2 linked regions of the Rhinolophus ferrumequinum genome follow. The protein of the gene in region 1 purifies or fractionates together with the protein of each later gene. This does not show direct contact. Links are inferred from orthologs where the notes say so. Each region holds a gene or a part of one and is shown on either strand. Other genes may lie near its edges. The genes, in order: ADNP and ZNF644.

Evidence for each region.
Region 2: the proteins of ADNP (region 1) and ZNF644 purify together in Homo sapiens (affinity purification with mass spectrometry; 3 studies listed by BioGRID and IntAct, with this or other methods). This does not show direct contact. The link is inferred for Rhinolophus ferrumequinum from reciprocal best matches to the Homo sapiens genes ADNP and ZNF644.

Annotation. Positions count from the first base shown.
Region 1 is NC_046306.1:8,846,204-8,862,737, forward strand, and holds the start of ADNP (activity-dependent neuroprotector homeobox protein), read left to right. Parts: upstream 1-7,093; 5' UTR 7,094-7,255; intron 7,256-9,256; 5' UTR 9,257-9,430; intron 9,431-10,413; exon of another isoform or gene 10,414-10,431; intron 10,432-16,076; exon of another isoform or gene 16,077-16,120; intron 16,121-16,299; exon of another isoform or gene 16,300-16,318; intron 16,319-16,534. Other genes in the region: DPM1 (dolichol-phosphate mannosyltransferase subunit 1), read left to right, coding at 2,114-2,228, 3,152-3,256.
Region 2 is NC_046292.1:68,784,443-68,800,960, forward strand, and holds the start of ZNF644 (zinc finger protein 644), read right to left. Parts: upstream 7,292-16,518; 5' UTR 7,007-7,291; intron 6,932-7,006; exon of another isoform or gene 6,706-6,931; intron 6,549-6,705; exon of another isoform or gene 6,287-6,548; intron 6,216-6,286; exon of another isoform or gene 5,614-6,215; intron 1,564-5,613; 5' UTR 1,495-1,563; intron 1-1,494.

The sequences.
Region 1 (16,534 bases):
CTTCGTTAGAATTGACACACACCAATTAGGAGCTGGCTGTTGAAGGTAACTACCGTGTTTCCCCGAAAATAAGACCTAGCCGGACAATCAGCTCTAATGCGTCTTTTGGAGCAAAAATTAATATAAGATCCGGTCTTATTTTACTATAAGACTGGGTATGATATGATATGATATAACATAAGACCGGGTCTTATACTAATTTTTGCTCCAAAAGACGCATTAGAGCTGATTGTCCGGCTAGGTCTTATTTTCGGGGAAACACGGTAGTATTTGTAGTACAGCTGCAAGTCTGTTAAATATCAGTTCAGAGATGGCAAGACAGAGGTGAAGAGAGAATATTTTTTTTTTAATGTCCTTACTTAGTAAAATGAAAGTACTTATGAGCCAAGAACAACAAAAAATGAAAGAGAGGAACCATCACAAATTAGAGGTCAAATAATGAAAATGAAGCCTCTCTAGAATTAAAATGTAAACTTATTAGAAAGCAGAATTTGGTGTATAAAAGACAGATTGGGGCCCATAAACACATCCCTTTAGTTCCGCAGTTCAAAGCAAAGGAATAAAATGTTATCTGATAAGATCACTGATTGCCATGTAGCAACAATGCAGAGAATCCTAACACAACGTGTCTACAGAGGGAATGGCCAGTATGGGCTTCGCAGCCACAGGTCTGATGAGTGAATGAAAACACAGGGTGGCTTCATGGATTGGGGAGCTGGGGGCCTTGCTTTTAGGCCTGGGTCACCTAGTTACTTCATCAAAGGGCCCTTTCACCTATTGGAAGCTCTGCAGATGCTTTCAGAAAAGCTAAAGGGTGATTCGTTTTAAATCCAACAAATACTTACTGAGTGCCAAGCATTGAACAATAAAGTCCCTGTCCTCATGGAGTTTACACATTCTAATGACAAGAGACTTACGACTACATAAAATACATGCAGCATCATGTGGGGATTGTGCTGTGGAGAAAACACAGCGCGGAGAGGAATGGCCAGGGTGCCTCACAGCCGCCATCAGACTCCTGTCACTTCAGATATATTCTAAACTGGTTCTTCTGAATTCTTAAAGAACTTGTGTGGGCAAAAGAATGCACACACTAGTCCTTCTCAGGTTCTCTAAGGAATGTGCTTTCTGTTGTCTTATATTCACTTAAAAGCTTGAAAAGCCAAAAGGCAAGGTGGCCTTAGAGGAAGCCGGCGGGGGGGGCAAAGGGGGGGGAGGAAATGTGGGTTCCAGGTAAAATCCTCGGGCATTGTAGATCCAGGTGAACTTAACTCCAGAGAGAACAGTTAACCCAAAATGCCTCTCCTAACTTGCTCTAAAAGGGAGGCGGGAGGAGACTGCTGCCTTCTTACTGACTGAGACTGATTTTGGGGGGGCTTTTTGTTGTCGCTGTTGTATTTGTGTTTCGTTTCACTTCAGTGACTGAAAATGGGCTCTGTGTTTGGCCTGCAGTCTGTCTAAAGTTAGGCTGCACATTTGTCCATTATAAGTATCTAACTGGGACCTCAATGGCTGATATCTGTGTCCTACCATGATGGCCTCAATCTCGTGGTGCCAGTTTCCTGTCTTAACCTAGCTTAACCAGGCTCATCATGGGGAGACTTCGTTTATCCCAGGAATTTATTTAGTAGACCTTAGGAAATAGAAACTCACCGTAAATATTTAGGAGGAAACACTTGTTGATTACTAGATTCTTGTCATCTAGTTTATATTGTTGCTCTTCACCTATCACCTCTATTATTCCAATATTTGAAACAGTTTCTCTTCTTTCAACTTTAAAAGTAAATTTTAAGAAAATTTAAAAACTCAATGAGTGGTTCTGCTTCAAATGATTCAGTTTTCCATATTTTTATTTCTGATAGTATGGTAGGAAAATAATTCTCTAAAAGATGCTAAACACATTTTCAAAATTATTCTAAATTATTTACAAAATAGTTCATGACCTTTCTGGTTCAGGACAAATGTATCATATCTACTATGAGAACTTTTCTATATCCAAATGGCTACTGAAAATTTTAGGTTTTAGAAATATCAGTGAACTTTTTGAAAGGTCAGGATACATGTAGGCAGGTGTATTGACGCAGGTGTTCATATATATTTTGATTTTGTACAGGTTATACCGAAAAGAAGTTCTACAGAAATTAATAGAAAAATGTGTTTCTAAAGGCTACGTCTTCCAGATGGAGATGATTGTTCGGGCAAGACAGTTGAATTATTCTATTGGGGAGGTATGCAATTGATGGTAATTAGTGTGTTGTATTCCTCATAAAGAAATAATGAGGTTTAGTCTTTGTATGATAAAATGTTTAACTTTCAGAACTACTAAATAAATTTGGAGGGCTTCCAGTTGTTTAGAATTTGTCCATACACTAAAGAGTGAACAATCACATCCCTTTCAAATTAATACATTTGACCTACAAGATTTAAAACAGTAATGGAAGGCAGCATTCCCTTTTAAAAATTTAAAAGTTACTGGTACCTTCTCCATCCTTGCCCTTTTTTCACTTAGCATTCTGGGATGAGTTGATTTGTTGCTTTTCCTCTTGCCATAGACAACAGCCACCCTACTTTAAAATGGATGATGACACCCATTGCCCATTTCCTATGAGTAAATGAAAAAGACAGGCATTGCGGGGGCAGGGTCTGTAATATTTACAGCTAGCTAGTGAACTTCGGGCAGATTCTCCTCGTTTAACACTAATACTCTTATGCAGAGCAAGAAATAGCTGACTAGAATGCCACTTCTCTTGTGGAAATTATAAGATTTTTAACTTAATACTAAAACAGTGACAGCTTAATTTGATGGACTAATGAAAAAAATTAAGTGAAAGGACATTTTACTTTTGGAGTATAATTTTTCCTTGAAATGCAGTCTGAAACTTGGGTAAACTAACTTAATCTGCAGGATCAATACTCCTCAAACAGTTGTCGACTTGGTTCATATGGTCTAGTTTTAGGTAATAAAATGCATGTTTGAAGACTTGGAGGTGCACACAGTTGCTATAAGAGTCCCCTAATTCTGAACTTAATTGAAGGACTTGCTACTGTAGGACTAATCTTATTTCTGCTGTATTAGTAATTTTTGCATGCCTGCTATGCTTTCTTTCTAATATTTTTGAAGACTGACTTAATGTATTATTTTTTTAACTAGGTTCCAATATCATTTGTGGATCGTGTTTATGGTGAATCCAAGTTGGGAGGAAATGAAATAGTCTCTTTCCTGAAAGGATTATTGACTCTCTTTGCTACTACATAAAAGAAAGTTATGCATTTATATTATGTTCATTTCAATTTAAACATAAAGGAAGCCTGCCTGGTTGCTGAGTTTTATAATATGTACTCTTAGAGCAAAATCATAAGGTAAGGTAAATTTCACGCAAATCTTTTTTCTAAAGAAACTCCATTTTATATGTCAAATTAGAAAAATGAGCAGTGTTCTCAATTTTCATTTACATTTTGCTGTATTAAGACCTATAAATAAATGTATATGGGGTTTTTGCATAAAACATTGCTTTCGTAGAGTATGTGAATGCAGAATTTATTACGGGAGGAAGATTTTGAAATATTCTTTATAAAAACTGGATTCATAGCTCTTTGTACCTTAGCAGATGTCAGAATAGGAATGCTAATTATATTCATGAAATATTATATGACTTTCTGTATGAACTGAAAAAGAAATACACATCTCTGCCCTTTCTTTAAAAATGAACCTCAAATTTCTTAAACAGATAAAACAGTACATTTAGAGCATAATTTTACAATTTGGTTCTTTGTAGCTGTTGAATTGCCGAAGCTATTCATCTGTCAAAGCAAGTCTTTAAAATACATATTGTGAATTAGAAATAACTTGACAGCAGTTGATAGCACAGCTGCTTTTTTTTCTTCTGAGCAATAACTTCTATCAGTAAGGGAAAATATTGATGGTATTAAAGCATAAACTTTAGTGGCTCGAGTAATTTTAAAACATCTTACAAACTATGCAAAGATTTTGTTCTCAAAATATTTCTTTTCATATTATTTCAGGACCCTCAACATCTTTACTAATAAGACAAAAATTCTCTATAGTTCCTCTCTGTTCAGAAGTGTTCTGACAGTTAAAATGCAGGTTAAGTTGTTCAATAAAGCCAGCGCAAATATTCTGTTTGCCTTGTCTCAAGTAGGTATTTCAAAAAAGATCTGTTTCTAACTAGCATAGTTTTTGCATCATGCAGTATCTTTTAAATTTTTGGGTAATACATACTGTGAGCAAATAAGCCTAAGATCAAGTTGACTTTCCTTTGCAAGTAAAAGGAAGAAGCATCTCTTAAGTTATTTAATAAGCATATTTAATGGACAGTATTCCTAATTACTACACTTTTCTGGCTTAATTTGGCTGCTAAAGTCAAGAAATTTAAAGTCTGATTTTTCCATTTGCATTTCTAACAGATCCTACCAGAAATGAATACCAGAGTATAAAACCTTTGGTGTCATTTTGAACATTACATGTTCCATTGTTGAATCCACAGGACACATTCCAATAAAAGCCTCTACTATTATTTATTTCCCGTTTACACTGAGCTGGGTGGCAGCCCACCAGGTACTCACCTTCTTTGGGGAAGCGACTTCTCTCATTATTGACTAGAAAATTCATCACTGTTCAATGTAAAATTAGTTTTAAGTGAACATAATAGTAATATAATCTTTTTTCTCTTTTTTTTAAGTGTTTAGAATCTCTTCTTTTTCATGTAAACCCGAAGTTCAGTTTTTACTGTCAAGTAGGTGTAGCAGAGATGAAGTAACTATTAAATACCTCAGAGAACCCACTGGGCCTATTGCTTTCTCAGACCTCACTCGAGTAGATACCTTTTGCCTTTTTAATCTTTTTGGTTCTTATTCTTACAAAACAACGCTATCACTATTGGAATTTACAGTAAAGAAAGTATTTGAGCATTGAAGACTTTCACCATTTGGAAGTTATTTAGAAAAGAATATTGAACTATTTAGATTCATTTTTGTAGTAAATGTGGTGACTTAAACACTGTAAAATCATTTACATGTGAATCCAGCATCCCTTTTTAGTTTGTAAATGAGGCCAAGGATGAAATCCAGATGTTCTCTCTTTGTATTTGTATTATCACTGTATGAAATCTAAGATAAAATTATTTTGCTTATTTCACATTAGCTTTTGCCTGTCTTCTGCAACATGGAATTTAGAGTCTTCATCTTTGTCCCTAAATCAGATGCTTTGCCCCTCCCCCCCTTTTCTTTTACAGTTTTTTTCAGCTTTTGTTTTCCTTTGGAATACTGATTTGGCTTTTAAGGATATTATTTTATCACAGTTTCAAAAATTAATGGAATATTGTGTTTGTTGGATGAAACAGCTTGTTAAACCTGCCAACTGAAGGCGTAGGCATTGAGATACATGTAACCATAATTTGTACTATTTTTCAATTAAGATTCTTTAGGGGTGTTAAGTATAGTTTGAAACTATGTTAACTTGAAATTTAGAGAAACAGCAAAGATAAGTGTATTTACAGAGCACATCTTAAGGAAACAGGCTTGGTTAATCCTTCACACTTGGCATTTACTTTCAGTATGTTTAGTCAATGATACACTCTTAGATGCATTCTGCTCTTAAAGGTGGGTTTGTTACCGCAACGTGTTGGTTGGGGTTGGCCTACATTTACAAAGGCAAACTGCCTAGATGCTGTCTTACGCTGTCAGATTGTGGGAGCACTAAAAGTGTCCCTAGGACTGTAGTCAAAGTGTGTTTTTTAAGGATTGTGGGGTAGGTCCATTGGAAACATCATTTCTCATCCTTAGGCTTCACCAGCCCAGTGGCCTCAAGGCGTTAGGGATCCCATTTGTTTTCTTCAGGCCAAAGAGAAGAGCCCATCACGGCCTTGGAAGAACGTCAAGTCTCAGGGCAGCAGCCTGCCTTCTGTAAAACACAGACCCTGCCCACTGAACAGCCCACCCTACCAGGAATGGGTCAGGCATCCCTGGGGTAGTGGCTCATCTCAAGTCGGTGTGTGAAGCATGAGGCCCTCACACCTCATTTAAGGCTGGAGGCGTCGGCACAACCTGCCAGGTATCCCTGCCGGCCGCTGCTGCCCAGCCCGTGAGAGCCCGCGCCGTGCAGCACGTGGAGCCGCAGGGCTGCCCGCACGCCCCCTCCCGCCAGATGTAGTCCAGGCCCAGCTGGGCCCGCGCAGGGATCCCCAGCACGGCCACCTGACTGAGTGCAGGGCGTGCTGCGGCCCTCTGCTTGTGCCTCCGCCGCCGGCGCTGCGGGCAGAGGAAGGCACCCACCGTGCACACGGGCCCTGGAAGCGCACTGCGGCCATTATCCGCGGCGCCTCCTAGTGGGTCAATGGCAAATTGTCCTGGTTCTCGCGAGAGTTCCCCCTCACTGGGGATTATATAATTTCCCTTAGGCAGGGGTAGGGGTGCCGGTGCCACCCTCCCTCAGGAAAAGTTAGGTGCAAGCACAGGAGAGCGAGAGAGTTGTGCCTGGGGGACATGTGGGGAAAGGGTACTGTCCCTCACTGCCCCCCCACTTCGCTGGACAATGAGTCCTCTTATGCTAATGAGGTACTTACGTCACTTCCGCTCTTTCTCGGCCGCCATTTTGGCTAGGGCAGGTTCGGGGACTCGCTCCGAGGCGCTTGTATTGTCTGCTGAGGGGAGACGCGGGATCAGCCCCCTCCCCCGCCCGTTGCCGCCGCCGCCTCCGCCGGCCCGGTCTCCCCTCCGCCGCCCGCCGGGATCCATGAGCTGAACTCCCGCCCCTCGGCCGCCGCCATCTTGTGCCCCCTCCCCCTCCCGCGGGCAGCGCTAAGGGGGATTTTGGCGTCTCCTCAGACACAGCTCCCTCTCTCGGTCCCCGCAACTGAGGAGCGAGAGGAGCGCGGCCACCGCCGCCCGCCTGCCCGCGCCGGTGAAGCGGCCTCTCCCACACCCTCCATCTCGTCCCTCCGCCCCTCCTTTGTCTGCACCGCTCGACGACGCTGCTGCCGCCGCCGCCGCCCGCGCGGGGACTGGAGGGAGCCGCTCGCGCCGCCGCCGCCGCCCGCCGCTCTGCTGCGCCCGCCGCGCCCCCCGGCAGCAGCCGCGGCCGCGGCGCGAGCCGGAGCCCGACGAGGCCACCGAGCCAGAGCGCGACGAGGCCCCGGGCGCGCCCTCGCCGCCGTGCCGCCGCCATCCGCCCGCCGCCGCCGCCGCCGCCCGGCCCCCGAGCACGCCGGCCCCGTGCGCGCCTCGAGGCCGAGTCAAGGTAAGCCGCGCGCGGCCCCGCGATCCGGCCCTGCTCCCGACCCTCGGTCCGCGCGGCTCCCGCCGAGCCGGCCCCGGGGGCGCATTGTTGTTTAGCTTGCCAGCCCTCCAACCACACACGCTCCTTTGCACACTCCGGGGCTGACGGACCGCCCGCTCCGCGCGGACCGCTACCCGGCTCTGCTCCGGGGGCCAGGCGCCTCCTCCTGCAGCCCGACCCCCGTTCCCCGCCCCGAGAGCCCGCGGAGGCCACCAGCCAGCCTGGCCACCGGAGCTTTTGCCGCTAATGGCATCTCCCTGCACCCCGCCCCCAGCAAGAACCGAGCTTCTCCCATCCCTGGAACTCATCCTTTCCTCCCGCCCCCCTCAACGAGTCCCCCACGCACACCCCCAGTGCCTGCGACGAGCCTCCTGCCTGGTCTACCCACCCTTAGCTGGGGGGGAGGGGGACAGAATGGGGGGCGGGGAGCATGCATGGCTCGGAGTGAAAGTCTTTACCTCTCCCGTGCAATCTTTCCTCCCCAACATGCCAGCTCCCCTCCTATCCTGACCACGGAGTCCACCACCACCCTCTTCACTCAGTCGCAGCTGCCTGGTCAGCACGACCTCTTAGAATCATTGTGCACCCCAACTTTGCAATAAGATGGTAGAAAATGGAAATCCAGAACGCTGCGAGAAGATTTTTTTTTAATGCAATGAATGGGGAGTACTTCTTTGAGCACCCTTTTATTCACCTCTTCTTTCCTCTGGGCTGCCTGCCTGCCTTCCCCTCCCCACCCCCAACCTGGATGTCTGTCTGCTGGAAAAGGCGCGATTGCTTCTCTTCCTCTTCTGCCCAACACCAGGCGCTAAGGTCTAATATCCTTTTTAGCCACACACATACCCACACTAAGTCTTCTTGATGTTCTTGCATTCACCATTTTCTCTGGACAGTTCTTGCCATAACCCCATTTCTCAGACAAAGGCTTAGGAGGGAAAAAGAACCAAACTGTTTCCTGTGCTTGCCATTTTAATGCTGTCCATCCACACACACCCAATTCCTATTCCTGATGCTTCTCGTGCCAGTGCCTTGAACCTTCAAAATGAAAAAAAAAGAAATCTCCTGGGTAGCTTGATACAGTTTCTTTATAAATCTGCATTGTTGCTTCTGGTTTATGGCCATGAAGAAAATACCAGCCCCCACCCAAAATGCACCGCAGCCAAGTCGGCTAAAGGCGATGAGTGTTGGAGTCAGTAGGGGGCGCATTCCCTGCACTGGGTAAGGCTGCAGAGGGGGGAAGGGCCCCAGAGCTAGAACAGGATGTGCTTCACAGCGCCTTCTACAGACCATGGGAAAATGGGCCCAGCAAGACACGTTCTGCACTCTTGGTGAGCTGACAGCAGCAACATGGCGAAGGATTAAATGAGTCAAGAGCAGTGATTTTTATATCTTTAAAAGAATCCAACCTACACTTCAGAAGTTCTGTCTTTTTACTTTTTCCAAACTGTTGACTCCAGACAATCCACATTTGTTCTTCACGAATCACCTTGGCACATCCTTGGTACACAGATTTCCCCTTCTGGAATTCTTCCACCCTTAAACTTTGAATGTTTCACCATATCTTCCCAAGGTCAGATGGTAAAGGGGAAAGTTTAAAGCCTGAGTTTGGGGTATTGCCGATTACCTCCCTTCTTCATGGCCCAAATCTTTCCAACTCTTGGAGAGTTAACTATTCTTGAGGGATGCTAGTGGGGTAGTAATTTTCATAAGCCTGTAGATGGGTGTCATGATTTGCAAAGCCTTGTTGGTAAACATCAAGCCCATGTTGAGTTCTTCATTGTCAAACTCAACAGAGTTTATTGTAAAATTTTGTTTCCTTCCAACTTTGGACTTGTACTTACCACTCATTGTCTCAGTAGCCAACCACCTTTGCAAAAGTGTTGACACTGGTCTTCTGTGAGCACCCACCTTCTTAGGGTGTGTTGATTTCTATAGATTTTACTCCTCTTGTTATTTCCATAGGTGTGAGATGCACAATGCGAAACCTAGGCCCCAGCTTTTGCACCATGATGCACAGGGTTGTACTTTTTGTACTGAACTGATAGGTGGCCTAGTGGTTATGCCCTGTACTACCATTTTGAGGATCTGGACTCCGTTCCTGCTTTGCTCTTTGGACCACATTGTCAATTCACACCGGTGGGTATATTCATTTTGGAGGGTGGGAACTGCAGCAACAGGGAAGCCAGAGATTTCCTCCTTGGTCACCACCAAAGCCAACACTTCCAAAATTTCAGCCTAGCCACATTCCTCAAGGAACCGGTTAGAGCTGGTTGCAGTTGTGGGTTCTGAACAGAGAAATGACTTATGGCTTAAGAGAGAAACTTTAAGTTGCTAATATTGTTTTAATAATTTCCATTCTGCACTCTTGTATATAAACTATGTTAAGTTTTCTATTGTGTTATTTTGATGATCTAATCGCAAGAGTTGTTAAGATTCTAAAATACCTTAAAGATTCTCTGATCAGAACAGGCTTTTCCATGAACATGTACTTGCTACCAAAGATTGACAGTGGTTGTTAATACTCAAGGATATTTTTAAGACTTTGTTACAAGTATTTTATGTAGATATATCAAGATCAATTTATGGGAAAATGAATGGATGTATATTTTGAGAATGGGTGTATTTTTTGATACATAGTTAACCAGTTAGTGCTTAAGGGAGACTTTTCATTGGACATTTGCTATCAAGTAACATTTTGGTGAGTGAACAGGAGGCAGTTTGGTTCAGGTATTCCATTAGAGACTTAACTATATTGCTTTTGCAATTATTTAATAATTGCAAGAATCGTATATTAAATGCTTGTTTGTAATTTTAAATACTTAGTATTTGTTAAACATATGATTTTGACCTGTATTTGGTCTTTGATGTACAGTTACATGAGTTTTTAAATGAGTAATTTGAAGACAATTTCTTGTTTGAGATGAAGTTTCTGAAGATTCTTTTGTTTGTTTAGCAAATTATACATAAGATACAGTGTTAACTGATGTCCATAGTGGTAATAGCCATTTTCCCCCTACAGGAAAAGTTGCTGTGAGCTCTTAGGAAAGCATGTATTCTACAGTTTCAAAGGTTTCCTGGTTTTGACACTCAAAAACAAAAAAAAGGTGAAACAATTGGGCTTGAAGGCTGGAATTTAGGTAAATTGTGAGGGGTTCGTTAAAGTATAGTAAAAAGCCTCAGTTAACTAGATGGTGGGGTATGGGTATCCTGCTTAATTGAACTTTAAGTAGAAATTCCTTCATCTTGGTTCTTGTTGACAGTTTCTTAAGACTATCTTACTAGAGGTGCTCTACGTTGAACTAGCTAAATCTTTTGTTTGGGTTCTTATAGTCTCTATACAGAAAATGTTGGCAGTTGGCCTCGCCCTACCTATCTGGAAGTCATTGGTTTTAAACATACCCACTGTGAATTTGTTATGCTTAAATTTTCTCTTTTTTCCCTTAAACCAGAGTGCAGGAAAAGTTGTAATACTATTTATGTTAAAATTAACCATCAGCATGTTGAACAGATTACGTTACTCTTATTTTGATGCCCCAATCTCAAGAGTTGATAAGCTTCTAAAAACTTTATGAAGTTTCTCTGATCAGAACCGGCCTTTCCATGAACGTGTGCTTGCTACCAAATAACCAACCAGTAGGGTTTTATCAAGTAAAATAGCTTTTGATTTTCATTATAACATACATGCATGTATTATTTATATTTGATTACTAAAAGCATCATTATATAAGATACACTATGAGTTAAATTGTTGCTTTCCTTGTAACTATTTATAAATTTTGAAAAATGTTAAAAATAATTCTTAGTATTTTGAAATTTTAAATACTCAGCAGTCTGTATTTAAGATGTGCACATGTTGGCTACACATTTAATTGACAATTAGTTTAATAAGGAAGATAGAGCTGTTCTGTTATAAAAGAGCAAATAAGGATGAATAGAGAAGAGATAAAATCTTCAGAATTTAAGTGTATTTTTCTTTTGAGAAACACGAAAGAATTGCATAAATTGTAATAGATCTTGACAGATTAATTCCATTAATCAGGGTCTGTATGTATATACACATAAAATACATTCTGCGTTTTTAGAGTTGGAAATGTAAGTGCAGAGGAAACCATCAGGATTTAACATAAATTTTTTTTAAATAATCTGTTTAAATCTTAGTAAAATAAACTTTTAAAAATGCTGTGGAAGTATTTAAAAATTGATGTTTTTATTTGATAAGATTAGAAGCTAATTTGTAGTTTACACCAAGATGCCCAGTACTATTGCATTATAAGCTACTTGTTCATCCTCGACTTCCACAGGACTTTCACTTTAAAACAAGGTCAGAAACTCTGTTATGTCTTCCAGAAGATAAAATACTTTCCATGAGAGTGTAACTTTCACTTACTTGCCTAAAGAGACATGAAGATTACGAAAAATATTGCTCCCCTATGTGAATAATTTAATTATAGTTAGATTCACAGAGCTTGATGTGTTGTTATTGGCATCATATAAACTTAGTTTTTCGTCCTTTAGTTTTGTAAGAGCTTGAGATATTGAATCTGAAGCAAATGCCGTATTTTACTGATGTGCATCGCTGTCAGTTGCACATTTTATGTTGTTTGTTTGGAAACTTGGCATTTGAAACTGTTATGAACCAAAGCCCGACACTAATTAACTGAATTGTTATTTTGAATGCAAAAGCTGTTTCTTGTTTACACATCGGCACTTTCCACCTTGATTGTTGAGACACTTTATAAAAGAAACCATCCATGTTTTGTCCAGCATGAGTGGCCGTAGTTCCTCTGTGACTTCATGGTTTTTTATTGCCTGTTTGCCTGATCCTGTTACTTAGAAAGTGGTAGGAAGGATGATGGTGCTCCCTCAGTCTCTCCGTGTCTTCGTACTCCTTACACCTCAGCTTTGTACATGACCTATATACCTTTGATATCTGCCAGGTTAGGGGTCAGCTTCAATGAGATCCATATTCTGCTTCACTGGGAGAAGGCTCCCCTCACATGTTACCAGGCTTCTCAAATTGGGACAGCGTATATATCGACTTGATTTTATATATATATATATATATACACACACACACACACACACACACACACAGTCACAGATAAAATGTGAGCGAACCATGTAAAATGCCAGTTTTGATTGGGAGTGCACATTTTTATTCTATTAGTGTAAAATGCAAAATTCTTTGCAATCTTTCTGTTCCGGGTTCCTTCATCTCCACATGTGTGTTCACTGCTCTTTGCCTTTAGTTGTTCTTTGAGATGCACTCATAAGCTGCCTTGGTTTTACTGATCCCTAGCATTGTTCTAAGACGACAGTGAGAGAAATCCTAAAATCTTAAGAATTTCAGCAGTGTTCCAGAAATAAACGTTTGGAAATTAAGAGGAGGGCATAAAAGATTTTTGATAAGAGTTCGCACAGGGAAGACTGCCCTGAACATACATTGCAGTTTAAGATTTAACTCAAAAAACATGCACATAATCTATAAGAGACTCACCCTTTGTTTGACCCGCCCTTAGAATTGAAAATAAATCCCTACATGTCCTAATTCCCTCTCCAGTAAGGGTGTGTAGATTTGTAATTGAGTCACTCAGCTTTGGGTTGTGTTTCTGTGACGTTTCTCAGATGACTCGGTTGGTCCCTTTAATGAAGATGAGCTGTCAGTGTGCACGGCCCCTTGTTGGCCTTTATGGTGTTATAAACTACTACTGCCGGCTTGCCCGTTTTGTTTTCCAAGTATCTTATAAACCATTCTCAATTCTCTCAGGACTGTCCCTGTTTCACAAGTAGGGAAATGAAGGCACTACCACATGCAATGATGAAGTGAGCCCGGGAATATGTCTGGGCTGGTTCCCAGGCCTGTGCTTGGAACACAGGCGTTTATAATGCTCCTGTGAGCTGTTTGATTAATGAGGGCTCAGATGAATAGTTCATAACTTCATAGTGATGTTTTGTGCTTGTATGTCAGCTAACACCCAAGGATCCCTGATGGGCTCCACAGTTAAAGGAGCGAGCTAGCCATACCCCCAGCAAGACAGTATAGATGAAAATTGTGTTGGTGGCCGTGAGTTGAAGTAGCATATGTCTGGTTTGAAGTTACTTGTATAAGGATCAAAAAAGAAAATTTTTATAGGGTCCCTTGCTTTTCCTAGTATTTTAGTTAGGGCAGCCTTGTTCTTTCTCCCCTGTGAGCAGTTATTTTTGCTTAGACAGATAATTGCTGGCTTTTGCCCTTCTGCCATTTCTGCCATTCTGAGTGCTTTATACTCCATGTAAGAGCTTGTATAAACCTGTGCTTCCCTTGAAAACCTGTAAAGCTTTCCTTTTCTGGTGAAAGCTGGTAACAATTGAGAGCCTGTATGAGTGGTCTTTTTTGAAACCTGGTGTATCTAAAGAAACTTCTGTCTAGTGGAAATATGGCAGAATTTGTTAGATTTTTAAATTAGAGTTGTCAGTTTAAGTCAACAGTTAGAATTCTTGCTCTTTTGAAAGAGATGAACTGAGACTGGGAGTGTCCTAAACACAGGGAGTGCTCAGTTCTTGTTCAATCAAGATCAAGATAGACTTAAAAACCAGAAAAATAAAAATAAAACTTCTCTGCAGAAAATGTAGCCATCAAGTGTCAAAACCTGCTGTAAGAATAATATTTTTGCTACAAAGAATAAATGCTTTGGCTAGCTAAGCCTTGACTCTAGGAAATGATTTAGGAAAAACTTAAGAAGATGATTTAAATGTTTTTTATTTTTCAAGAATGATGAATAAAATAATTTCTCGTTATGGGAAAATTATTTCTGAGTAGTTTTGCTAGAGTGTAGAAAACTTTTTAAGGGATTGAAAATAATCTACCTTTGTCTTATGCCATTTAGATGCAAAGACCCAGCAACATGTTTCTGAAATGATTCCAGAGGACTCCTAGGCCCACTTGTGAATTAATTTCCCTTTTTCTCGTTTCTCTTAAGCCAGGTTTTCCACCTGTATTGACAGCAAGCCTTTCTGAGCCTGTGGCATTCTTATGTAGGCAGCAGAGTGCTGAAGTCACTCCCCATGACACGGCCCTGCCTTGCAGGAATGCCTCTTTCAAAAGGAGTAAATTGGGAAATGCTCCCCATCTCGCACTCCCTAAAGCTAGATTGCGATGTTAGAGATATTCTCAGTCTTTTTTTCTTTATAAGCAGTGAAGTGTCTTTCCCCCTTTCAAATAAAATTTTATGTGAACTCTAGTAGATAACATCGATTAAGGGTTAGGGGGCCACACCTCTGGTTGCAGTTGCTTAGCTTTCATCTTTTCCATCAGGCATCATCTCCATCCGTATATGTATCTTACAGTCTCTCAGCACTCTCAAGTATATCCTGAAAACCATTGGTTCCCTTGGTGTTCTAGAAATGCTGATATTGACAGCTAGGATTCTTGTCTGAAATCTCAAAGTAACAGGATAAGCAGCAACATAATAGCATTTTCCAGTTGTAGGCACTAATCTTTTAGTCTGAAAGTCTTAAAAAAGGAATGACCCACATTTTTTTTAAAATAAATATGAAGAATCTAGATCATACCTTTGTTTCTACATCACTGTAAGTCACCTCAGTTTATTTTGGGTATTTGCAGATGTTCTATTGCATAAGCATTTTAAGTGCCACAGCGCCTGTAAAGTTAAGAATATGCTTACTGTATCTAACGTGAATGGTTCACACAAATGTATAAAAATCCTCTATGTATATATGTACGTTTGCACATTATAATGTGTACAGGAGCAAGTATATGGCAAACACATCTGATTCTCAGGAATAATAGTTCATGCTTTTAAAAGATTATACCCTGGTGTGAACTCATAATTTTCGAAGTGATTATTCCAGTACCTGATCTAGTTTAAGCTATTAGATTGGTGCAAAAGTAATTGAGGTTTTAAAGGTTAAAATAATTGCAAAAACCGCAATTACTTTTGTACCAACCCGATAATAATGGTAACTGCTTTTAAGCATTAACTGGCATCATCTCATCTAATCCTTTTGACATTTAAACAATAGTGTCCTTTTGGTTGTACAATAAAGAAACAGATCTCCAGAGGTTAAGTAACGTTTTTAGGGTCACAAAGATAGTAAGTGGCCGAGAGAGTATTTGAACACAGAGCTGCCCCGCTCTGGGGCTGTATTCTTGGTCACTACGTCATACTATCTTTCCAACAGAGGAAAGCTTTACTGTGATATGTCACCTTCTTGTTATAGAAGTTTGAAGTGAGGTCAACATTTTTACCTCATGGGTCAAATTTTTACCTCAAAGGTCAGCTAAATTTTTGTCCATGGACACAATATAATCTTATTTGGAAACACAAATTTTGATGCAGTCTGTAGGCATCACCCTTGAACCTTTTTTCTCTTTCCTTTTGCTATCACTTCAGTATCTTATACCTAAGGCTCTGGTGATTTTGCATACCTTTCAGACTGAGTAGGGCTGAAAAATGTGTGTAATCTTTTTCTGTACTGCTAGGTACTCTAGAATCACTTAACTTTTACAAAACTAAAAAATAGTTGAACTTCTCATTAAAGTAACCCCAGCTGGAGTAACTCTATTCAGTTAAGGCAGAGTTAATTGGGTCCTTTGATACTGACAATGATAAACAGGGTCCTCAGATAATGTCGTTTCATTCACTGTTGTTTCTGATGAGATGCCGAACGAACTTAACTCTTGTTTATATCAGTTAGCCTATGGTAACATTGGTTTCTTTATACGTCGTTTCACTGCAGTTCCAAGAACCTATCAACGATGACTTTAAGTGAGGACTTTCTGCGTCCCACTGTTCCTGGCCTCTTGGAGTGGAGCAGATTTGCCAGGAAAGTGAACTCTCTGCTAAGATTTTTTTTTTTTTTTTTTTTTTTTTTTACAGACAACAGTTTGGGGGCCATTAATATATTACATTGAGTCACTATTTAATGTTGTCCAAAATGGTTTGGAAATTTGTGAAGGCCTTCAAAGTTGTTCAAAGAAATCTAAACAGATGCTTAATATTCGTAGTTCTGGCAAAGAGACCCATGAGTAACAAATGCCTCTAATTTTGAACCCACACTACCCTGCTGATAAAATTGCAGGCAAACCTTATCTGGTTCCATATTCACTATTATTGCCTTCAATTTTCCAGTAGCCACATTTTTCAATTTTTTAATTTATTTTTAATTGTAGAATATACATAACAATATCGGTTTAACCACTTTTTAAGTGTACAGTTTTGTGACATTAAATACACTCAC
Region 2 (16,518 bases), on another chromosome or scaffold:
TGGCTATTGAGCACTTGAAGCCAGCTAGTCTGAACTGAGATGTGCCTCAAGTACAATACACACACACTGGATGCTGAAGACTTGGTGTGAAAAAAAAGTGCAAAATATCTCAATCATGTTTACATATTATGTTTTGGATATACTGAGTTAAATAAAATGCATTAATAGAATTAATTTTACCTATTTCTTTTTATTTTTTAACATGGCTATAGAAAATTTTAAATCACATTTGTCATTTAGCATACCTCTATTGGGTAATGCTAACCTAATACAATCTATTTATAAATGCCCCACAAACTATCTTTTATATGACTGTAAAAATGAGTGTAAAAATTCAATATTAAGTTTTTTCCCCGCCATAAAGGATTATTACATTAGGAATTATTAATAGTAACTAAACTATTAAGTGCCTATTTTTAATATCCTTTTTAAAAAGTTTAACAAAGAAGCTTAAAGCATTGAAAAGTATAAAAATTTAAGTTCAGTTCTCATACAGCTATAAATTGAAAATGTCATCTACATTTTACATATAGCCAATTTTGAGTTAAATGTCTCCCCAGAAAGGATAGTTATTATTAAACCAGCAGCATTTCTAATCCCAGATATATTATTTCTGATTAAGCTATTTTTCTTCTTAGTCACTCCGTAAAGAAAAAGGCAGCTTCCATTTTGACCAATATCATTGTACCAATGTCCAACAGCCCAGACAAAGAGCCTTTATATGGTGGTATGAATAAACAATGTGGGCAATAAGATACCATTTGAAATAAGGGTAGGCAAAAAAAATGCGCTTACAATGTTAAGTTTTATAAGTAGGAGATAAAACTTACAAATTATATAATTAGGTTAAAGGACAAATACATAGAAAGGACAGGAAGGCAGAATAGAAAGTCTCATCTGTAGAATCAAGATAGGCCTAGATTCAAACTTGGCTGCTCTATTATTTACTAACTTTCTGACCCGAGTCTGTTCCCTTGCATGTAAAATGGAAATATACACATCACAGTATTAAAAAAAAGTATCAGTTTTATCTCCCTTTCCTTTAACACTAATGATTATATATATATATATATATATATATAAAATGGTGATTAAGATTATGGGTGAATTCCCCCCTTTATTTTTCAAACTGCTGAAAGTATTTTTTAAGCACAATTAAACTTCTAGTAATTCACACTCACACCCCTCAAGTGAACTTAAAATTACTTTTACTAGCTGCCTTTTATATTTTTTTTTTAACTTAAAATTTGTGTTGGTGGTAGGGAGGTAAACAGAAGAAAAATTAAAGGGAGAAGTAAGTTTAAGGCCATACCAGCACAGACATATACAAAACAAAGTGTGGTGTGGAAAATGGTAAAAGGAAATGCTGTCTGAGAAAAATCAAGCAACGAAAAGATAACATGCCTCTCCAAAATCTAGCTACTGTTGAAGTCACTCCTCACTCTCATCTGGGGTTTACATGTACATTACATACAAATACACATAGTCACACACCCTCTTCTCTCTGCTAATGGTCACCACCATCCTCATGATCAAAAATTTAGAGGGAAGAAATTCAGGAAGCTGTAACCAAAAAAAAAAAAATATGTATCAATACACTGACTGAGAAATAACCTAACTAAAATGTACCCATTCCCAAGTGCATTTATTCATCAGCTGACAGTCATAAAAGGGAAATGTGTTCCTGAAATACTGAACTGTTAAAATGTTAAAACTGTATGAGGCACAGTGTGATGCCTACCTCTGACTTCCTTTATAACAGCATTCCCTTTGTAGATAGGGATCTAAAAATGAAACACTGACAAAAGTACACTAATCCAAATCACATGTGAAAATTTCAAAAAATAATTAAACAATGGCAATTACTATTATAAAAGATAACATTTACTCAGCATTTGCTGTATATCAGAAAGCTAGTAATACAGTATTATTGTTAAATCCACTTACCTACTGCTCACACAGCTAGATTTTAACCTCACCAGTTGTACTTCAAGGCTTACACTTTCAAATCTTATCTCATCCTGCCTCTTTATTTACATGTACATAATTAGAAATGCAACTATGATTTTCTGTGTATATATAAACTTACATATGTTTGTGTGTGTACATAATATTCAGTAAGTCGATAGTGAGCAACAGGCAATTATCCCAACTTTGACAAGGTTTTTATCTACTTTCACAAACCATTCAACAACTGGGAATCACTCCCGCCCCAATAAATGGTTTTTTGAAAGTACTAGTTATATTTAACATCTTCCTCAAGAAACTGATGAAAAAGATATGCTTTTGAATAAAAGGATAAACACCATGGAAGGATAAAAATGTTAATCTTTTAAAAAATTTGATCAATAATTGATAAAATATAGGTAAATGTGTTTTGTAAACTATAAATTAATCCTAACATTAGTTTTGTTTTGTTTTAAATAATAAGTTTGGCTCATAACATTTACGTTTCTGGATTTTGAACAAAGTCTTAAAAGCTGTATTTGCAACGTCAATGAATGACACACACAGTAAAACACTTAATAACCTAAAATTTTTATTTATCACTAACCAACTTCAATTGCACTACAATCTAGACTAACTAATTTGTTCCTTAAATTTCAAGGAACAAATCAGATCTATACTTTTCACAAAGTTATTCACAAGATCACAGTTCCCAGAATCCCAAATGAATGGGAAGGCTACAGCTTGTAGATGCAGTAGAACAATGATTAGTAAGTAGAGGGAGAGTGTAAAGGAAATCTCTTAGAAACACTAACCATAATCCAGTCTCACCTTTCCCCATTCAAGAGAAGTGTGCACTGCTGCTGCTTCTGCCCTGACATTATCCTCCTTCTCTCCCTTTTGAAATCCTCTGCTTTTCTCCTCCTGGGAAGTTATCTCACAAAACTTGTTTTTCTTGCTAAAATCTCTCAATTGTCAAAGGATGTCTTCAATTTAAAAGAACAAAAACATACCAACTCCCCATAATCACATTAAGAGTTCCCAGTAAATTCAAAGAGAATAGTAACTCCATCGTTCAACTTTGGCAGATCTAAGAAAAAATTAAATTTAACAGGAGAGCAACTGAGGCCCTAGAGATGAGATGAGAAAACCTTTTTCATAGAGACTCCACCTCCCTGAAGAGAGACTATGAATTGAATTTGGTGTTTTATCATCTAGGTCTCAAGTGATCTTTATGTTTTTGTTTGTTGTTTTTTTTTAAGAGGGGAAAGAAGAGAGATACTTTAGCCAACCAGCAGGGTGAGCTAGTGCTAGAATTTGTTTGATTATTCTCAATTCTCTCAAAATTCAGTGGTGTAAATGGCTTACACTATTAAAAGCAGCTATTTCCCTCTAATAAACCTAAAGTAAAAGACACTACTTCTAGAATTGCTTCAATCAGTGCTACATCTCATTAAGTTTGTTTAATATTTACAAAACAAACATTCTCTATACCAGAGGGATTAATAAATAAATGTAAAAAAAAAAGCTCATTTGAATATTTATTCAAAATATTACAGTAGCCATCTTTTATTCTCATGGGTTTTTTTTATTTTATAGGGCAATCGATGTTTTTAAAAATTAAGAACACTTTTTTTAAAAGGACTCCTAAAATTAATGTTCTATAAAATTAGGACTGAGTAATTCAACATACCAATTTCTGCATTCAGTGCAAACTACAGCTGCCTTAAGATCTGCCTGCAAAGCAAGCAGTCACGAGAAAAACATTCCTACAAGAATCAGGTCCACTCTTTTCCTTTGGAATCACAACCTGAGAAAGAGTCTAAATAAGTAACTCAAAACTCTAACTGTGTTTGGGATGAGAGAAAGGTGAATCTGATCTTTTCTGACAACCAATTTCTCTCAAGTGCAGATATCCCAATCACTTCTAGTGACTGTCCTTCAGTCTTTCTTTTCTCCTCCTGCTATCCAAAACAATGTCAATTCAACCACAACCAAAACTCTCCCCCTTATAACTTGAATGACAAATTAAACCTGCAAAATTTTTAAGGTTTGCAAATGACAGATTCACTTTATAATTGTAAATATTCTGGGAGTAATTCTAATTATCACAAGACTAGCGTGTAATTAAATCCACTCATATAGTGTTGAAAATTTAAAAATAACTTACCAACTTTCTTAGAAAAGGCAATAATTTAAATGCACCTTAAATAAAAGCTTTAAAACCTCCATACAACTTAACCATTTTTGTTAAATTTGATATCCAAAAAAGTTCAAGATAACTATGGCGTTCCACTATAAATGATTTTACTACTTGTTGAAAGAATTTCCTAATAGATTTTACAGAACTACTACTCAGTAGCAGTAGTCTTACGTTGTTTCTAACTAGAACCAGTATTAAAAGGCATGTTAACTTACCCAACTAAAATACAGTTACAAAATGAAAGGCACTAGCACCATTGTTTTCAGCATCTCATTTCTTATGTAATAACTGGTAATAATGGCAGTTATTTCAAACTTTCCAAGAAGTTTATCAAGCTACCTTTTTTTTTTTCTTTTTTTTAAATCAAGATTGGGTTTTGAGGGGCGGCCGGTTAGCTCAGTTGGTTAGAGCACGGTGCTCTTAACAACAAGGTTGCCACAGGTTCGATCCCCGCATGGGCCACTGTGAGCTGCGCCCTCCACAACTAGATTGAAACTACTACTTGACTTGGAGCTGATGGGTCCTGGAAAAACACACTTAAAATAAATAAAAGTTTTAATAAAAAGATTGCTTTTTGAAAACCCCCAAATTCAAAAGCAACATTGCTCTGAAATGTGTTATTTTTTATCTGAATTTGTTTCACTGGAAGTATTTTAAAAACTAAGTTATCATATCATGTTAAATGTCTTTTAACTTGTCAGTTCTAATAAACAGCACCTAATTAACAAGTATTCTCAAACACACTTCCTTGTTTTACTTTTTAACCATTATTAGTTACAGAGTCACCTTCTCATGCCAGCAACATAACCAATGAAAACAGCAATGGGGTAGAAGTTGAGAATTTTCCATTATGCCACTAACTTAATCATCTCTGACCTTCAATATAGCATAAGAGAGTAAGACTAGTTGTTCGAGATTCCTTCCACTCTAAAACTGTGTAATTCAGTAATACATTTTGCTAATGCTAATATTGCCTATTTGTTAATACAAGAAGACTGTTCTCTGTTAGGAGAAAAGCTAAAAGCAGGGAAATCTGGAGGGAAAATAAAAGGAAAAGGAAAATTTTAAATAAAGTTGAAAAGTTCAACTTGAAATTTGAACAGAGATCTAAAGTTAGTGATCGAAACGTGTTTAAGTATTCTTTCAGTCACTTGAATAATTTTGTTAATGTGACATGGTCAAAACATGAGTTGTTTCCAAATTTTGTACTTCAAAAATTAGTTAATACCAATATACAAAGTATAATGCAGCCATTAAGCGCAGTATAACTTTGTTAGAAATTCTAACATTTACACTGCCATAATTTTAACAGCAATAGATATATACCATGGCATTAATATTAGTCAAAACTTCATGTTACACCTATTAAAATGTCTAAATTATAACTTTTTCATAAAAACTATTTTTTTCTTTCCAAACCTACCAATGCAATATTGCTGCCATCAAGTTCCCTGGATACTTACACATGACACTGAAGGCAAACAGCCGGTTTCCTCGCTTTGAGCAACTTGAGTTGTCTATTTTTGAAATGCTTTACTTCTTGCAGGACCAAAAAATATAACCAAACTACTGCAGAGAGGCAATGTACTAGTAAAGCAAATTTAATCTATCATCCGGATGCAACAAGCCTGGCATTAGTCAGGACTGGCCAGAATAGATGATGGTGTTTTGGTATTTCTGTTGAAATTATTTAATTTGTATACAAAACAGGACCATCATTCAGGCCCCCAGTTGAATTTATCCCTTGTTGAGTACTTCTCAATGACCACACAAAATTTGAAGTCTAAACATAAAAGTTCTATAACAACTAAATTTACGTCAGTATTACTTAAAACAGTTCAAGAAAAGTTTTCCACTAATGTTGCTAAACCATGGATGGATCCCAACACGAGAGTCGTCTGCGGAAGTCTCGTAACAAGAAACCTTTAGCTCCACCACCTAAGTTTCCAATCACTGAGAAGGGTCTGGGACAACTCATCTTCAGGTTCACGGGAGAAGTGGAGCACACCTGCTTTCCTCTGGCAGAGATTAAGCTCCCAGGGACACAAAGGCCAGGGAATCAGACCTGGAGAAGCAAAAAGCTTTAGCTGGACACCCACCAAGCCCCTGGCAACCCAAACACTTTGAGCGATTTACCTCTTGCTGCTACTTCCCGGACACCTAGCGGCATAAGATCTTGCAGAACAGGGGGAGGGGAGGGCTATGCGGTCCTGGTCCCATGTTAGGGGAGGGATGTGTACAGTTAACGCTAGAGCTGGCGCTTCTGGCCAAGCCGGGGCAGCCACGAAGAGAGGGCTTGGTGACTGCTCTCGGACCGCCCCGTTACTCAGTGCATTGCAATGGCGACCGCCAGGCTCCCCAAGCCGCCAGATCTGGGCCCCTTCCCCCTACTGCTCACTGGCTGCTCGTCTTCATGTGACTAAACAAAACCCCCAAGTCTAGTGCCCAGCTCAGCCCCTTTGTGTCCGCTACCGGGTCCTCCGACGCCGCCGTGGAAAGGTCCTCCCCCTACCGCCTCCGCCGAGTCCCGCCCAGCGGCGGCGGCCGCCGCTCACCTCAGGTTCCGCCGCCCCCCGCGGCCGCCGCGGCCGCCACCTCCCCGAACCCGGGGCCCGGGCTCCTTGTATAGCACCAACTCCGCCTCCTCGGCCGCCGCCGCCATCTTAGCCTGTGCGGCAAAATGCGTCCTTTTGGATGGTTGGGACCCAGCCTAGGGCGTAGCTCCCCGGGCCCAAGCGCCGAAGGCCGGGTCCCCCAACTTCTTCCGCCACCCTCAGTCCCGCCGCCGCCACAGCCCAGAGTCCCGAAACCCACTCGGGTCCCGGCGAATCCGACCAAATAACCCCTGAAACTCACAGTTTGGTGCCGTGTGCGTCAAACCGGGGCGACGTTGGGAGCGCGCGGCGTCCCCGCGTCACACGCTGCACTGTACGCTACTCGGCTCCAACGGCCCCCCTCCGCTCCCCGCTTTTCGCCTCCGGCCCCGGTTCCCACGGCGCAGGCGCGCTGCTTTCCCGCCTCTACCGAGCTGCGGGCCGCGGGGGTGGCCAGTGAAGAGCTCTTGGGCAGCTTCGCGCTGGTGGAGCTCCTGGGCCAATTAGACAAACCGGGGAGCAGAAACAGTGCACCTCTGTTGTCGGGTGCCAGAAACCAAACAAGGTCACCTCCCCCAGCGCTGACCTAATCACTCTCAAGGAGGTTCCCGCCCCAAAGTAGGCACGCTCCAAATATGGTGGTGCCCAAACTCTGCAAGACCCAAACACTTAGGCAAGCCTAGGCTCTTTAAGGTGGAACAGGCCCATATTTGATTTCCACAATCACTAGCGTGCCAGGATTCCTTTTCTTTTCCTACTGTTGAGGAAAACAGCTAAAGAACTCAAGTTGCCAGTTACGACTGCAGAGTAATGGCAGAGGAAGGTTTTTGGATTTGAAGGGGAACAATTATTGGGAGATGCTTGATGGCCAGGCAAAGCATCAAATGTGGCATCTCAATTAGCGGAACAGCCTACCCTCAAAGGTGCCCTGGGTTTGGTCCAATTTGAGTCTGATGATACTTTCTCTCTGCATTACTGAATGTGCATGAGTCTCCAAATTAAAGCGATATAAGAAGCACCTGAGCGAGCATGGGTTAACCTTCAAAGAATCAGTAGGCCCCAAGAGAGTTCTGGAAATCTTTCTTTTAACAAGCATCCACTATGGGAGTCTGAGGGCAGAGTTTCACACTTTGAGAAACACAAATTAGAGGCTATTTCTGTCTTTGCTTTTGAACTGAACAAACAAGAAGTTGCTAACATGTTTCATATGAACCAAGTTCAGAGCAATCTTCTAGTCCTGCCTTAATAAATTCTTTGGCTTTTCTGAATCTCTGTTTTCTCATTAAAAAAAGGAAAAAAGTTTTCATTAGTTTAGCAGCTATCATAATCTGTGCTCCTCCAAACCTTCAAGATGTTATTGGCATTCAGAAGAATACACTGTAATTACACTTATTTGAGAACAGTAGGAAACATTCTTTTTCCTATAAGATAGTGACTTCAGCAGCAGCAGCAGCAAACATAGGTTCCAAACAACAGATACATATACTTGCTGCATTCGTTTATAATAATAGCTAACACTTCTGAGCGCTTACTATGTGCCAAACATTGTTTAACTCATTCCAACCTAATAAGGGAAAGAGAGGTTAGGTAATTTTTTCAAAGTCACACATCTCTTTGGACTCTTTCAAAATGCAATTTTTCTTTCTTCACTTACACAAATCGATAAACAATAAAATATTAAAAAAAAATTTTTTCAGCCAATGGTGGGGTGTCCTTTGGGTCATTTCATCTACAGAATCCATTAAAATTGGACATTCTCAGTTTAATACTGACTTACAATAAACAATAAAAGTACTATGTACTATGGATATACTCACAATATTGTATCACTACAGAAACAGTTACCAACAACAAAAAAAACTCAGTTGTGGATGTACACTACTGACTGACTGATGTGCAGACAGAGCATACCACAAGAAAGTAGAACTACTTACAACTCAATCATGATCAGACACTTATCTCACTAATGAAGCTGTTTATACTAGAATTCAACAATTAAATGGCAATACTAAAGAAATAGTAATAGTAGTAACTGTAATAGTCAAAGTAGTAATAGTTGATGAAATTTTATAAACAAAATATATGTCAAAAAACTTTCTATAAGTGGGAGAAAACTAGATAAGGGCAGAAAGCTTGGATAAGGTAATGTGTAAAGAAATTGTAAAAAGCAGGCAAACTGGAAAAATCCAAGAACCAGTTATGTGGCTCAATGCCAAAATATTTAAAAACATTAAAAGGAAATTGTAGTTGAGAACGAAAATCAAGATGTAAAAAACAGTTTGGCCCCGAGAGAAAATTCACAAAGCACATCTACTCACTATAATAAAATAGTGCTCTGATGAATTCACCTGATGAAGAATCGAGAGAGAGAGAAAGAGAGAGAGAGAGAGAGAGAGAGAGAGAGAGAGAGAGAGAGAGAGAGGCTGAGAGAGCGAAAGAAAGAAAGACCTGGCTATTGTTAATATGTTAAAATCTGACAATATTAGACAATATATGAATCCATTAGTTATTCCAGTGAATGGAATTACCCAATAAAATATTCAAATAAGCTGTGGTCTCAAATGACTTAATCAAAAAGGAAATGCAATTGTTTTTGTTGGATAAAAGCAGGTAATTCTCAACATTCCAATACTTCTGAATTCCAGGCAAAAAGAAAAAATGAAACACTTGATTAATCTACCATCCTAGTAATAAAGTCAAGTCAAAATTTGGATTTGTCTTAGGACCTCACAAGAGATGGTTCTGGACCCATCTCTGAGTACCAAAAGTGCAAGGCAGTCTCATCTGTAAAACTGCAAATATTATAATATGTTCATTAATTAGGGTGGAGTAGGAGGATGTTTGACATAGAGAGAGATGAAGAAGTAAATACATCAAACCTTATTTTTGTCTCACGGTAACCTCAGCACAGAGCCTTACACATAATGGGCATACAATAAATAATTCAATTCAACCAATATTCACCAATTGCTTACTCTATGCAAGGTACTGTACTAGGCACTGTCAGCAAAAAGAGAAATAAGACAGTTCCTTGTACATATTCAATACGTAGTTGTTAAATAAATGAGGAGCTTTGTATAGTCCAATAAAAGAACTAGACAAAAAGGTATCATCAACTCTCAATTTACCAGGGTATGGGAAAGATGAGGAAACAGAAAATAAAGATTTCAAAATCATCGTTAAACAAAACCTTGTAAAACAGGGTACAAAATAGGTTTAGTATAACTATATTTAGTAAAAATTATATCTAATATTTAAGAACACATTTATTACTCTAACTCTCAGTTATCCGAAGTAGACCATGAGAGTATATGAGCTTTTTCACAGAGCACATATAGAGAAAGTAAACAGTGGGCCACAGAAACGTAGATAAAAAATATTTAAGGAATTAGTAGAGAAAAAGTCCAAGAAAATAAGAAATGAAGGGACAGAGGAATAAGAAGAGATTCAAGCAAGAGTGTAACAAGCAAGAGCCAGGGAGCTATTGGTAACAGCTTACTGCTGCAACAAATAACCCCAATCTCCATGGGTTACCATAGTAAAGTTTTTTTCTTATTCACATCACACTCTACTGAAGTCAGTGGGAAGCGGGTGGTGGAGGCCTGGGAGCAGTTATTCAAGCACCTAAGGTCCTACCGTTATATACTTGTATATGCCTTTGCCATCCCCTTAGAATCTTCTACTGGATCCTCTGCAAAGAGAGAGAGAACACACGTGGAGAATCATGAGTGTGACAAGGTGAAGTGGCCAAGCCCGGAAGTGGCACAGGTCACTTCTCACTTTCCACTAGTCAGCACTCTAGTCAGCACTCTAGACAGAGGTTGGGGAATGTAGTTAGGCTCTATGTCCTGCAGGAAAGGAAATGGGACTGGTGGGCACAAAACAGGGTTTCTGCACATCCTGTGTAAATGTAGCAGAGAGGTTATGAGAGATAAGTGGTGTCCATTGGCTATACAAGATCACTGGGGACCATGGTGTGAACAAGATCAGTGGAGTGGCTCAGCCCACTGCAGTGGATTTGGGAAGAAAGGGGAAATAGTAACTGAGTCTGATCAACTTTGGAAACCTAGCAACTGGACTCACAAGGCTGAGAGACAAATGGAGGCTTTAGTTAAATGCCACTGCTCCAGGATTCTTGGTAATTAATCAGCCAGCCTTCTCCTGTTAAGATAAAAACTCTCACTAGCCTTCTTCAAACTCCACACACATTAAACTTAAGAAATGCCTTCATTGTTTATTTTTTCCAAAGTGAAAGATTCCAGATGTTCCGGAATATTTGGTTGAGATCCATCCAAGGAAAAAGGGCATCTGTAATTTCAGCGATCCATGTGCTTTACTAAAGAAAATGAACGTAAAATAGTAAGCCAAAATATTACACTATATGTGTTGATTTCCTTTGTTATCAATATTGAGAGATAAAATTGTACAAATGTGTTTAATTACATGATAATAATTAGCAATTGGACTTTGATATCTAACTTAATTGTAAATGAAATTAAATGTCTTCAAATTGAAACTTAAAATCTCTATCATGTATTATTTACTTAAATTTTCTAAATATATTGTAAGATGGAAAAGAATGGTGGTTGCAACCTTCAAAAATAGATTTAGATAACAATTAGTCTGAAATAGAAATACAGGTCTAAAAATTAACTTGGTGATGTCATCTTTATTTTTCTGATCCATTTCTCTTTTTATTCCAGAACATTGAAGTGTCTCTTACAAACTGTCAGATCCCTTCCTGATTGCCATACTTCACCCTCAACATAGAATGGCTGTGGTCTCCAGGAGGCTGATAAATTTAATCCTTTTTTACCCAGAGACGAAAGATGCACTGAAGATACAGACCCATCATCTCTTCTAATATTCTTGCAGTGCCTACAATGTTTCAGGCATTGTACTGGGCTCTTGGACAATGTAAAAATAAATAGAACACATTCAGCTCTCACATATCTTATAGTAAAAGAGATCAAAAGTCATATACTCAAAGTGCTATTTGCAAGACAACAAGTGTTGGAGAGGCTGTGGAGAAAAAGGAACCCTCATACACTGTTGGTGGGAATGCAGATTGGGAATGCTATGGAAGGCAGTGTGGAGGGAGGTTCCTCAAAAAAATGAAGAATAGAATTACCATATGACCCAGCAATCCCTTTCCTGGGTATCTACCAAAAATATCTGAAAACACTTATGCATAAAGACATATGTGCTCCAATGTTCATTGCAGCTTTATCTATGGTGGCCAAGACATGGAAACAACCAAAGTGTCCTTTGATAGATGAATGGATAAAGAAGGTGTGGTATATATACACAATGGAATACTATTCAGCCATAAGAAAAGATGAAATAGTACTGTTTGCAACAACATGGATGGATCTTGAGATTATAATGCTAAGCGAAATAAATCAGACAGAAAATGTAGAGAACCATATGATTTCACTGATATGTGGTATATAAAACTGAAAACAACAAAAGAACAAGACAAACAAATGAAGAAACAAGAATTCATGGACATAGACATAGTTTAGGGGTTACCAAAGTGTAAGGGGGGGTTCTAGAAGAGAGTGAACAGGGTCAAATATATGGTGATGGAAGGAGAACTGACTCTGGGTGGTGAACATACAATGTGAGATACAGATGATGTATTACAGAATTGTACAGCTGAAATCTATGTAACTTTACTAACAATTGTCATGCCAATAAACTAATTTTTTTAAAAAAGTGCTATTTACGTTTTAAAGTTGACAAAGAAAAGGTCAGCTTATTGTTCAACTAGTGCCTCAGATAATGATGAGAATGCCATTGAGTCATTTTCCTCTATGGTTTCACTCTTAGTTTTGCAGGTTGAGAATCAGTTAAACCAGAATTGATCAAGCTCAGACACATGAAACATATAAAAGACTAATGTATAAATCACATGTGAACATATTAATTTACAGTAAAAGTTTTGACTGTCAAACACAATGGTATACGCAGGCAGACTGGTCATCACGTTCCCTCCCCTGTAGAGAAGGGTGCTGGGAATACCAAATTATTTGCTCAATGAGCAAAGAATTATACAAAAATGATCTTAACAGATGGTGTCATGAAACTTTGATAGCAAACTGCACTCTGCCATGAAGACGTACCTGTCAAGGGAAGTTGAACATGTTAGTCTGCTCTCACCAGGAAAATAACTCTTATTTTCCTTAAAGATATGTAAAAATACATTAAAACCACAAAAAGATAGAGTATTTTATAATCCATAATGTCATCAATCCTGTAACACTTTTTAAAAAATATTGTAACATCTCTGAAATCAAGATGTGTTTTACTATAGTTTGTAATTGGCAATCTTTTGCTTTCTTAGGGGTTCATAAAATAATGGCATATCTTTCAATCAGTGATATCTTAGAATAATGGCCTGATGTTTCTAGAAACTCCTCTAATTCTGTTTTGGTAAATTGACTTCCATAAACTTAGTAGTGGCCCCAATATATCATTCTTCTAAGTTTAAAACAATGTCAAGCTTTAATCTCCTTAATTCATACTCTGATCAGGCCGTTATAATTGAGCTAATTTCCCAAATGCTACAGAACATTGGAGGACAGTTCATGCCAAGTTCTTTCTTTGCTCCTTAAGTAACCCAGAAGTAACCTTCACAGTTACTTTGACACCACTTGTTGCTGCAGACCTCTTAACAACCCTGCACAGTTCCTTAAGGGAGTCTCATGTATGCTCAGGAATAGGTCCTACCAGTTACCTCATTACTCCCCTGATACAACAAGCTATCTTCAGTGGCTACTGTGACCTTCTACTAGAAATGACTGCCTCCCACATGGCACCACCATTTGGGGCCAGGCACCTCCATACCCATAGCTGACAGTCTGGAATACACATGGGAGTAAGACATCACTGGGATTGTTCATCTAAACTTTTATTTCTATAGACTGATTTTTAAAAAATATTTACCCACAGACAATAGTTCAGTGGTTACCAGAGGGTAAGGGGGGTGGGGGTGGGAGATGAGGGTAAGGGGGATCAAATATATGGTGATAGAAGGAGAACTGACTCTGGGTGGTGAACACACAATGGTATTTATAGATGATGTGATACAGAATTGTACACCTGAAATCTATGTAATTTTACTAACAATTGTCACCCCAATAAATTAAAAAACATATATATTTATCTACTATGTGTCAGGCTCTTTACTAGTCATTGAAGAGACGGTAGTGAAAAATCCATACAGTCACTATGTACAGTTGTGGAGTTTGTGCACTGCACAAAGATACTCAGCCAAATAGTGAATGGATGCTAAAATCCAGCCTGTTCTCCACTCACCAAATCATGCCCCTTAGTACAGGGCTGAATCTTTCTTCAGGAAAGGATGCCTTCTTTTTCCCACAAAACTGTCTTTCCTTCCAAAATAATCCTAGCACCCAAGGGCCTACCTCAGCCTATTTCTAATTCTTCTGCTCAGAGTGTCACCTGTTTCAATCCCCTGCCCAGGGAAGGTCTTTTTCTAATTCCTCTTTCCTACTTCACACAAAGGGAATTGATAGGTCAATGGGTCCTAACTACTGAGTCCCTGACCTCAAGGAGCTTACATTCTAATGGAGGAGATAAACAAAGAAAAAAACATTGTATAAGTATAAGATAGGAGTAAGCACCCAGTAGCACCTCAGAAACAGCAAGAAGGAGGACCTTAGCCAGTCTGGGGACCAGGGAAGGCTCCTCGGAGAAGGCTGTCTCTGACTAAAACCATCTTCCCACTCCCTCACCGGGGCTAACTCCTACTCATTCTTCAGGTTTTAGTTAAATGTCCTTCTGTCAGAGAGGCTTTCCCCCACCCCCTCACCTCACATCCCCCCAGCACTCCACACTTTTCCTTTGTTTCACTCATCTTACATGTACAGTCAACTCTACTATGACTAAACAAATGGGGCCCCAAAAACTCGGTTTTGTAAATTATAAGGTCATATTATTATATTAGGAAGTAACGAAATGGCTGGAGAGAGCCTACATAGTTTGCTGGCTAGAGCTCCAGGGGACTGGCTGTGTGCACAAAATCCACCCTGGTCTCAGCTAGAGTTGAGAGCAATCTGCTGGTACCTACCTGACTTCTCCAGCTTGAATACACTAGGTATGATTCCAGGTCCTATGACTAGCTGGGAATTCCAGGATCGCAGCACTGGTTCCAGGAATCTCCCAGTCACTTGACATTCATTTCGTCTGTTGAATCCAGAAGGACTGGCTTGGGAGAACACTGAGAATGCAGCATCTCACTTCCTCCATTCCACCTGCCTCTTCCCATTCCAGGCTAAAGCCCACTGCATTTGAAAATGGGAACTCGGCAGAGGACAGGATTAATGGTCAGGTGCATTATAGTTGGTTTGTGTTATCGGGGAACGTGATTTTACTCTATGTTATTTTCTACATCATTGTAGATATGAATTTTACTATAATTACTTGCTTAATGTCCACCTCCTCCTCTGGACTATACACTGCATGAGGACATGTTAGGTGTTCGTATTACCTCCCTTACTCATAGTATAGTTAATTCATATTAATTGCTTAAAAAGTATTTGCTGAACTGAATTGATGTTATATCTAAGTTGAGACCTAAATGACTTTTAAAAGCTAACTGGGGAAAAGAGTAGGGGAAGAGTATTCTGTGCAGAGGGAACAATGTGGAAAAAGCCGAAGAGCAAGAGTATGTGGCATGTTTGGGGAGTGGCAAGTAATTCATATGGCTAGAGTATAGCACATTCATGGAGAGTGAGGAGTGGTAACAATTGAAACTGGAAGGGAAGCAGAAGTCAGATAGATCTCAAAGGTCGAGAGACTTGGACTTTCCCCAAAGGCAGTGGGAAACATTGGTGGATTTTTAAAAAGAAATTATGTGATCAGATTTGCATTTTAGAAAGGTCTACAGTGTGAACATTTTACTGAAGGGAGTAAAACTTGATGCAGAGAGAGAGAGAGGGATATTTTCGGGATAGAGCCTGGTGTCTGTATAACGATAGCATATGTTAAAGGAAATTGTCATGTTCTCAGCCCACACAGAAAGAGTCCTCAGAAGCCATGCTTTGTACTTTGTAAGCCTGTTCCCTCTAACACTTGGCTGCAGCTGACTGGGCCATAGTAGGGAACCTGATCCAAAGAAAACCAAATTCATAGGCTGACAAGTGGCCTATGATATAACTGGCATGGAAAACAGTAATCAAGACAGTGTGGCATTATGATAGACAAATTGATCAACGGTAGAGGATAGACAGCCTAGGCATAGACCCACAGATACATGGTGAATTAATTTTTGGCAAAAGTGAAAAGTAGAGAAAGAACAGTTTTACAACAAATGATACTGGAAAAATTGAATATCCATATGCAAAAAGTTGAACTTTGATCCTTATATAAAAATTAACTCAAAATGAATCATAGACTTAATGTAAAACCTAAACCAAAAAACTTCTGGGAGAAAATCTTCATGAGTTCCAGTTAGGCAAAGATTTCTGAAATATGACACCAAAAGTACAATTCATAAAAGAAAAAAAAATTGATAAAACAGACTTTATCAAAATTAAAATTTTTTGCTCTTTGAAAAACTCTGTTAAGTGAATGAAAAACAATGCACAGACTGGGAGAAATATTTTGCAAATCACATACTGCTAAAGGACATATATCCATAATATATAAAGAATTCTCAAAACTCAATAAGTAAACAAATAACCTGATAAAAAATAGACAAATGAATTAACAGGTACTTCATTAAACATATACTAATGTCAAATAAGC